Arabidopsis thaliana: one gene and its partner. The protein of the gene in region 1 interacts with the protein of each later gene in a biochemical or structural test. Each region holds a gene or a part of one and is shown on either strand. Other genes may lie near its edges. The genes, in order: CAO and AT1G48900.

What was found.
Region 2: the proteins of CAO (region 1) and AT1G48900 form a complex in vitro, tested with the Arabidopsis thaliana proteins (one study listed by BioGRID).

What each region holds. Positions count from the first base shown.
Region 1 is NC_003071.7:19,470,563-19,475,012, forward strand, and holds CAO (chloroplast signal recognition particle component (CAO)), read left to right. Parts: upstream 1-2,010; 5' UTR 2,011-2,218; coding exon 2,219-3,340; 3' UTR 3,341-3,825; downstream 3,826-4,450. Other genes in the region: AT2G47440 (Tetratricopeptide repeat (TPR)-like superfamily protein), read left to right, coding at 1-1,098.
Region 2 is NC_003070.9:18,084,017-18,089,733, reverse strand, and holds AT1G48900 (Signal recognition particle, SRP54 subunit protein), read left to right. Parts: upstream 1-1,799; 5' UTR 1,800-1,990; coding exon 1,991-2,221; intron 2,222-2,297; coding exon 2,298-2,397; intron 2,398-2,491; coding exon 2,492-2,645; intron 2,646-3,292; coding exon 3,293-3,443; intron 3,444-3,523; coding exon 3,524-3,672; intron 3,673-3,785; coding exon 3,786-3,886; intron 3,887-3,979; coding exon 3,980-4,137; intron 4,138-4,225; coding exon 4,226-4,340; intron 4,341-4,433; coding exon 4,434-4,762; 3' UTR 4,763-5,019; downstream 5,020-5,717.

The DNA of each region.
Region 1 (4,450 bases):
GAGGATGCCATGGTTCTCCTACAAACCGGTAAACGCCTCGCCTCCGCCGAGTTCCGTCGCCGGAGTATTTGCTGGTCCGACGATAGCTTCCTTCTCCTCTCCGAATCCTCCTCTGCTTCTTCTCCACCACCCGAGAGCGAGAACTTCACCCATCTCCTCGCTCACATCAAGCTTCTTCTCCGTCGTCGCGCCGCTGCAATCGCCGCTCTCGACGCTGGACTGTTCTCCGAGTCGATCCGTCACTTCTCCAAGATCGTCGATGGCCGTCGCCCTGCGCCTCAAGGATTCCTCGCCGAATGCTACATGCATCGAGCCGCCGCTTATAGATCCGCCGGTAGAATCGCGGAAGCGATCGCCGATTGCAATAAAACCCTAGCTCTTGAACCCTCGTGTATCCAGGCGTTAGAAACCAGAGCCGCGCTTCTAGAAACGGTCAGGTGTTTTCCAGATTCGCTTCACGATCTAGAACACTTGAAGCTTCTCTACAACACCATTTTACGCGATCGGAAGCTTCCGGGTCCGGTGTGGAAGCGGCACAACGTGAAATACAGAGAGATTCCTGGGAAATTGTGCGTTTTGACAACGAAAACGCAGAAACTTAAGCAGAAAATCGCAAACGGAGAAACTGGGAATGTCGATTATTACGGCTTGATCGGAGTCAGACGCGGATGCACCAGATCGGAGCTCGATCGAGCTCATCTATTGCTATGTCTCAGATACAAACCCGATAGAGCCTCTTCTTTCATCGAACGGTGCGAGTTCACCGATCAAAACGACGTCGATTCGGTTAGAGATCGAGCCAAAATGTCGTCTCTGTTGCTTTACCGTTTGATTCAGAAAGGATACACCGCCGTGACAGCGATCATAGCCGAGGAGCAGAGGAAGAACGCCATTGCTCACGCTCAAAAGATTGAAGAACGCAAACCGGTTGAAAAATCCGGTTCTATTAAGAGAACCGGAAACGCTGAAACGAAACCGGTAAATTCCAATGCGTACCAAGGAGTATTCTGTAGAGATCTCGCTGCGGTTGGGAATCTACTAACCAGGGCTGGTTTCAACCATCCAATCCCGGTTAAATACGAAGCGCTCACCTGCTAAAAAATATTGAACCGAATTTTTTATCCTACCATGTCAGCCACTGGAAACGTCGTCGTTTCCGTAGATTCGTCTTCGGACAGAAAAACAAATCATTCAGCCGTCAAAAAAGAAAATAAAATAAGAAAATATATATACATTTGATGTATGAATACAAATGAAACAATGTATTTAGGTTTGGAAGATTATTCCAACTACAAGAAAATTTTGTCACTTTACTTTTATCTTCAATGTTCGTCTCCTTTGTTTCTTCTTCATCTTCATGTGCATATAAAACGACAGAAGCTTGATTTGCACGTAAATTAAAATACTAGTATCAAAACTTTTTTTTTCATTTTATTATCAAAATTATCTCTTAAGCTATTGAGCACTAATTTATTTTTTATTATTGAGTTCTCGAGATTTGCCTAGAAATAGTCGATGAGTCTGGCTCACGTCAGTAATATTCGGATGAGTCCTTATCTATAAAGTTTGGCTGCCATTTGATGGTATTGGGATGATTAATTTAATTAGGCAAATAAAATATAGATGGTGAAAACTAAATAAAAACTATTCACTTGCTGTATAATAATGTTAATACTCATATCATGTAAATCACTGAAGTGCAAATTCAAAAAAAAAAAAAAAAAAAAATGGTCTGCTTGCCATTTAAAGATGTTTAAAGATGGAGTAAGTATATATACACAAGTCGTAAAATCAAACACAAATAATATATTGACAAACTCATATATCATAATGTATACATACCAATTTAAATCCACAAGAAAATATCATATGAATGAGAAAACCAACCACATTTACAATTTTACTCATATTTATTTTATTGTTTTATATTTTTCTTTTCTTTTTGATGAGAATGTCTTAACACAATTATCTAGTATATAAAGATTTTTTCCAAAAAATAGAAGAACCTGTTGATTTTCTAAAAGTAGAAGAAAATAAGTGCAGTCCATAAAATAAAATCCTATAAAAATGTTAAAACTAGATTCTTTTTTAAAAAACTAAAATTTGCTGCAGACATCTAAAATTTTCGAAAATGATTGGGTGGCTAAGATTTCTTATCCACTAGAAAATCCAGTGAGTCCCGTTAACTCTCTTCTCTTCTCTAGTCTTGTCTTCTATTATGCAAAAGGTCTTCTTGGCCATGGATACTTGTGCTCTAGTAATCCATCAGTCTCTGTCTCGCATCAAACTTTCTCCTCCCAAATCTTCTTCTTCTTCTTCTTCTGCTTTCTCCCCTGAATCCTTACCGATCAGACGGATCGAGCTGTGTTTCCGAGGAGCTATATGTGCCGCCGTACAAAGAAACTACGAAGAAACGACCTCCTCCGTGGAAGAGGCAGAGGAAGATGATGAGTCATCATCATCGTACGGAGAAGTGAACAAGATCATTGGAAGCCGAACGGCGGGGGAAGGAGCCATGGAGTACCTTATCGAGTGGAAGGACGGCCATTCTCCGTCGTGGGTTCCATCGAGCTACATCGCAGCAGACGTAGTGTCGGAGTACGAGACACCCTGGTGGACGGCAGCTAGAAAAGCCGACGAGCAGGCCCTGTCACAGCTCCTGGAGGACCGAGACGTCGATGCCGTGGACGAAAACGGCCGGACGGCTCTGCTTTTCGTGGCAGGTCTGGGGTCGGACAAGTGCGTAAGGCTTCTGGCGGAGGCTGGAGCCGATCTCGACCACCGAGACATGAGGGGAGGCTTGACGGCGCTGCACATGGCGGCTGGTTACGTGAGGCCGGAGGTGGTGGAGGCGCTGGTGGAGCTGGGAGCTGATATTGAAGTGGAAGACGAGAGAGGGTTAACGGCGTTGGAACTAGCGAGGGAGATTCTGAAGACGACGCCGAAGGGGAATCCGATGCAGTTCGGGAGGAGAATTGGGTTAGAGAAAGTGATCAATGTCCTGGAAGGACAAGTGTTCGAGTACGCCGAGGTGGATGAGATCGTAGAGAAACGAGGGAAAGGCAAAGACGTTGAATATCTGGTCAGATGGAAGGACGGTGGAGATTGCGAGTGGGTGAAAGGTGTACACGTGGCGGAAGATGTGGCTAAGGACTACGAGGATGGGCTGGAGTACGCTGTAGCGGAGAGTGTGATCGGGAAGAGGGTGGGAGACGATGGGAAGACCATCGAGTATCTTGTCAAATGGACTGATATGTCTGATGCCACTTGGGAGCCTCAGGACAATGTCGACTCTACTCTTGTTCTACTCTACCAACAACAACAACCAATGAATGAATGATTGATTTTGATGATTACATTCTTCTCAATTTGCTTCTTTCTCATATGTGTTGGTTCATCTGACCGGTTCGGTTGGTACGTACCGGTACATTTTCATTTTCTTTTAAGATGTGATCTTGATGGTTTTTGGCCTTTTGGGGACACTATTTGATTTTATATCCATGCTTTGAATTTTGCTTCCCTTTTTGGGGAGATTCATGATGCTGGCTGACTTGCTCTTTATCGTCCCAGGTTTAGAGAATACATCGTCTTAGGCTTTTCTTTATCTCAAAACCCATTTACATTTAATTGGGCCTATATATTTCATATAGGAAGAGAGTACATGTAAACCCAATACACAACTTTTATTTATGGGTCCGTTTCTTGTAACATTTGTTGGTGATAAAAACAACTTCTGAAGAGTGATAATGTACAACTGCACTTTGCGATTAAGGAAATTATAGAAAGATACAAAGTCTGAATAAATGACTAGAAAATATGAATAAGTAGTATCCATTCTTCTCTAATTCAACATCATTTTTTTTTTTTTTTTTTTTTGACGATATTCGATGCATTGTGTCTATATGAGAGAAATTTTGGTTTGTCAGTTAATGGCTAGACTTTTATTATTATGAGCATCTAGATTTTCAGTGCATGTGATGTTACGTTGATGATGGACATAAGGAGACAAAAAGGACGGAGTTGATTTAGTACACATTTTCGTTTCTTTGTGAATACAACGATCGCCTATTTTTCGTTTGTAATTTTCCTCTTAATTCGAGAGGGGCCTCTAGTCATGTGTGTTACTTCTAGTTATAGTGACATGAACGGATGAGAAAAGTTTCTTTTTGTAAACAACATGCGTACGTAAATCAACCAAATATATTTAGTATAACAACCAAATTACTGTTGGACAACCAACCAAACAACAATTATGTAGATTATAGATTAGAGAAAACAAGGAACTAGGTCGATTAACCGCGACCACATTAGCCAAGTCCTCCAGTCGATTAATATAAATTGATGCCAAATATATTAGTTTTCACTGGGTTTTATATTATACTATCAGACCACAGAAGACATCACGTCACAGTTAACAACACTACATATTTCAGATTTTGTATGAAACGTA
Region 2 (5,717 bases), on another chromosome or scaffold:
TACCATCTCTATGGTTACACAAAATAAAACAAAACTATTATTTTCAAAAATAGATCACTTTATAATACACGATTTGTATATTTTTAAATGGAAAATAAAGAAAACTCTAAACTCTCTCAAATATTTTGTTTTTTTTGGTCAATGTCAAGACATCGCTCCTTCGTGGTCGTGAGGAGCCTTATGACAAGAAAATTCAAGGGAAGCCTCCCTTTCCGCTAGTGGATCTCTCAGACATATCTTTCTTATTCTACTATTTATTTTTAGGGTAATTATTCTCTATTGATCTAGTTTTGGAAGCCAACAAAAACACAACTCTGTTTAGGTAAGTGAAAGCTCTACCTTTGTCATAATCCCTCAAAATATTGTCGAGGACCTCAAGAAAAACTTCACATAGGATTATTACTCGAAACAAGTCTACAAAATGTGGGATTTTGGGAAGCGAAACTTCAAAATCAGTATTCATGCGTCAGTATAGAACAACTATGAAATTCAAATTAAATTTTTTATCCAATCACTTGTAACTGTCTTTAGCGACATGCCCTAGAGAACCAATATACATATGGACTATATGGTAGTCAAAATAATAAGAAAAGTTTATTTCACATAGATCCTGTAAATTCTAAGCTACTAATAACATTTGAAAAGAAGAGATACACATTGATTGAAGTAAAAATTCTGAATCAAGCAAGCACAACTCAGTGGCGGATCTAGAGAAACATTTAGTATAGGGCACTATTCATTTACTTATACATATATATTTATCAAAATTATTATTATGTATATATATATTTATATTAGGGTTAATTTGCAAAGTAGTCACTTTTTTAAACTTAATTGGAAAATTAGTCACTTTACTATTCATAATTTGCAAAATAGTCACTTTTCACTGTTTGATTCGTACACTTAGATTGTACACCACTTTTAGTGTACAAATATATATAAAAATACACAGCGTACACTTTACATTTGTACACTAAAAGTGATGTATAATCCAAGTGTACGAATCAAACAGTGAAAAGTAACTATTTTGCAAATTATGAATAGTAAAGTGACTACTTTCCTAATTAAGTTTAAAAAGTGACTATTTTGCCAACACATCCTTTATATTAATTGTTATTAAAAAATAAATTTGTGATAAAATATGTAGTGTTTTAACCCAAAAAATGTTTAGTTCATCAATACCTATAATTTATATCTCACCTGTAGGTGTCCAAATATATTTATGAAGGTGTATATATATAATTTTGGTATTCATTTTCATATATATCAAACTTATTAAAAATATATAAGCAGACGTATTTTAAGTAATTATTAAAGTAATTTAAACAAAATTTAAAAATGAATGTTCAAAATTTAAATGAAGAAAAAATTACATTACTGATTGTGGTGGAAGAAAAAGAAGGTAATTAGAAGGAGAATATGCCTTTGACAAGTCTCGAACCTAGGAAAGGAAGAAGTAATAGTAGAAACAAAAAAACATTTGTGCTAAATCATTGTTATTTGATGTTTTTACAAACAAACATCTATAAAGTAAACCTCCCTCCAACCTAGATCCGCCCTGAGCACAAGAAAAACCCTAGTACATGTATACCCTCTATAAGGATTCAAGATTACTAAGAACGAGTCTATTTATCCGCTATATAGGATTCATCAAATAAATGTTAGTTATTATTAGTAATGGAATTTTGGATATATACGAAATGGACTATTCCTCTACAATTTGTTCGTTTTGAAATCGGAAGTATACGCATTGGGCCTGTTGTGAACTTCGTAAGGCCCATTAATTTAGATTTGCTTCTTTTCCTAACCGGTACCGGTTTATGGAAATAGGAAGAATTAGCAATTAAGATCCTCGGATCAAGTTCTCAATTTCTCTCCGTTATCTCAATCGCGACCAAAGATCTCTTCGATCAAAACCCTAGCTCTAAATTCCCCCAAATCTGATTCTTCTCCTCCGATAAGCTTTTGTTGAATTCACAAAGCAGCGTAAATGGTGTTGGCGGAGCTAGGCGGGCGGATTACCCGCGCGATACAGCAGATGAGCAATGTGACAATTATCGATGAGAAGGCTTTGAATGAATGCTTGAACGAGATCACTCGTGCTTTGCTTCAATCCGATGTTTCATTTCCCCTTGTGAAAGAGATGCAGAGTAATATTAAGAAAATCGTCAATCTTGAAGATCTAGCAGCTGGTCACAACAAGCGCCGGATCATTGAACAGGTTTCAATTTTTTCCACAAAGTCTGTTTCTTTGATCGATTTTTGTAATTCGATGTAATTGGGTTTGTTTATCTCAGGCTATCTTTAGTGAACTCTGTAAGATGTTGGATCCAGGGAAGCCTGCGTTTGCTCCTAAAAAAGCTAAAGCTAGTGTAGTTATGTTTGTTGGATTACAAGGTGAGCTCTTTGTATGATGCTATTTATGTTATTGGTTCAAATTGGGTTTGTTTTTGAATGTAATCTCAACTTTTTTGTGTGATTATGTTTATAGGTGCTGGAAAGACGACAACTTGTACTAAGTATGCTTATTATCATCAGAAGAAAGGATACAAACCAGCTTTGGTTTGTGCGGATACTTTCAGGGCTGGTGCGTTCGATCAGCTGAAACAGAATGCTACCAAGGCTAAGATCCCCTTTTATGGAAGGTACTCATCAACCTCTTTGTGGTGTTCCTTTTTTATGAAGATTTATCTTACTATCAGTTTTCTTCTTCGGTGCTCTTTAGAACTTTGGTGGTATTTCCAGAGGATTTTTGTTAGCTTACTTATAGGAGTGTATGTAAAAAAATGATTTGAATTTTCTTTGGAACGGTAGAGGCAAGTTATGAAATAGGTTTAGTTTAGACTCGAGGTTTGGTTTAGGTCAGTATCTTCATATATCTGGACTGAAAAGGACTTCTGTTACTTATATGTTTCTTTGTCCTATCATCCAGTAGGTTTCGTCAGATTTCTCTAGTTCTCTGCGTGCCACTTACCTTTAGGGGTTCTTTTAAGCCCTTTTCCCTCTTTTTTCTTGCGCTTTTATCGGAACTCATTTCACTGTGCCACTCTAATTTTTTTTTACATCTTTGTCGAATAGTTCAACAGTATGCATAAATGAATCTTTTGAGGTCTTGTGGTCTCTTCTTTTTCTATTTGCAATTAGTGCTACTGTGCTATTTGTAGAGTTGGATTTACTTCAATGACAGTAACACAAAGAAATGAAAAAAGAAGAAGACATTCTGGATTAAAACCATGCTCTAGGGCGTACTGTGGTAGCAGATTGTGCTAATACTGAGTTGTGATTCTTGCAGCTACACGGAATCCGATCCTGTGAAAATTGCTGTTGAGGGAGTAGATACGTTTAAGAAAGAAAACTGTGATCTCATTATTGTTGATACCAGTGGTCGCCATAAACAAGAAGCTTCTCTCTTTGAAGAAATGCGTCAAGTTGCTGAAGCAACGGTATGCTCTGTTGCCTTGAAGTCTTCTGTTTGTTCCTGGTTGATGTTGCAGACTCTGATCATGGTCTTTTCACTTTACAGAAACCAGATCTTGTTATATTTGTTATGGATAGCAGTATTGGTCAAGCTGCATTTGATCAAGCTCAAGCCTTTAAGCAGAGTGTTGCTGTTGGAGCTGTAATTATTACTAAGATGGACGGCCATGCCAAGGGTGGTGGGGCTCTTAGCGCGTAAGTATCTTGTAGCTACTGAATCGTCCTATGTACTTGAAATGGTCAATATGAAATTCTTGTAGGTTTTCTCCAGTTGGAAAAGTGAATTTGATCCTTTTTCATTTTGTTAGTGTTGCAGCTACGAAAAGTCCTGTGATATTTATCGGAACAGGAGAGCATATGGATGAGTTTGAAGTGTTTGACGTCAAACCATTTGTCAGCCGTCTCTTAGGTAATTATCATGGCATTGATTTAGCATTTGTGAGTATTCAAAGGCTTTTCATGGGTTGTTGAGTCAGAATCTTGATAATTTTATCTATAATAGGAATGGGTGATTGGTCTGGATTCGTGGATAAGCTACAAGAGGTAGTACCTAAAGATCAACAGCCTGAACTTCTGGAAAAGCTCTCTCAGGGTAACTTTACGTTGAGAATTATGTACGACCAGTTCCAGAACATACTGAACATGGGTCCACTTAAGGAGGTCAGTATCTTTATTTCAAATATTATTAGGCTTGAACAGCTCAAGGGACTGATGATAAAACGTGTGAGATGGTTGTGTGGGGGTGTAGGTTTTCTCAATGCTGCCTGGAATTAGTGCTGAAATGATGCCGAAAGGACATGAGAAAGAAAGCCAGGCGAAGATAAAGCGGTACATGACAATGATGGATTCTATGACAAATGATGGTAAGAACAATAATAATATATCTTATTTGGAGAAAGTGTATCAGTAGAAATAATCAGAGTTCTGAGCAAAAATGTGATGGGTGGTTTGTGCAGAACTGGACAGCTCAAACCCAAAGGTGTTTAACGAGTCACGGATGATGCGGATAGCAAGAGGGTCAGGGAGGCAAGTAAGAGAAGTGATGGAGATGTTGGAAGAGTACAAGAGGCTAGCGAAGATATGGAGCAAGATGAAAGGACTCAAGATCCCAAAGAATGGAGATATGAGTGCACTCTCGAGAAACATGAACGCACAGCACATGAGCAAGGTCCTCCCACCTCAGATGCTCAAGCAGATTGGCGGCATGGGCGGTCTGCAGAGTCTAATGAAGCAGATGGGTTCCGGCAAGGACATGATGGGAATGTTCGGTGGCGGAGACAAGTAGTATCTTTCTTCCTTCCTTTGCACACCAAAAACTAGACATTCTTACGTTGTCATTATTAGAGTTTTCCCCTTTGTATTTGTAAAATATTTGCAAATTTTCTCCAATTTTACAAAAAGAGATTTGGTAACAAAATAATGTCTAGGGTCCAGTCGTGGACATTATATATTGAAAACCAAAAAAAATTTATATCAAAAGAGTTTGGGTGAACAAAACTGTATCATCTTTTGAACAGATTGACTCTCTTTGAATCGAAATTACATAGAACAAACAAACAATAGAAGAATAAATTAAGAGTCATATTTGTAATAGTATTTTGATCAATATTTGCTTGAGCATTCATATTAGTGTTTAGTTTAGTTCACTCTTATGAGATTTTTTTTTTTTTTTTTTGAATTTTTACTTTTATATTTTACTTAGATTTTCCAATTGATTCTTATGCCTTTTAAAAAAAATAAAAAAAAAATAGAAAGCTAAATAATATATAAAAAGGAAAAAGGGTAATTTAAATAAAAAGAAAATATTTAACTAGGAAAATATACTCAATGCTTCCCCTTCATATTGGATGGAGTATGTAAGTTTTGAATGCCTAACTTGAGAAAAAAATGCATCAAATTTCTTTCTTCCTAATGTAAGTTTTTACATTGTAAATAAATATCTTGTCTAAATTATGTTTACAATTTCATATTTTATTCTTCTAATAAATACTTCTATAGAATTTTTATGTATAATGTTTAATGTTATAAATGTTTAAACCGCCTAAAATCGTCTAGACCCCAATTTAGGCGTTCTAAGCGTTAAGCATTAGGTCATCGCTTGTTTAGCCAAGTTAAGAAGACCCTTCATGTAAGAACAGAGAATCAATTGGCCGACATTCTTACAAAGCCATTGTTTCCCTCTCAATTCAAGCAGTTACTTTGCAAGATGGACATTCTCTTTATATTTATGCTCCATTTTG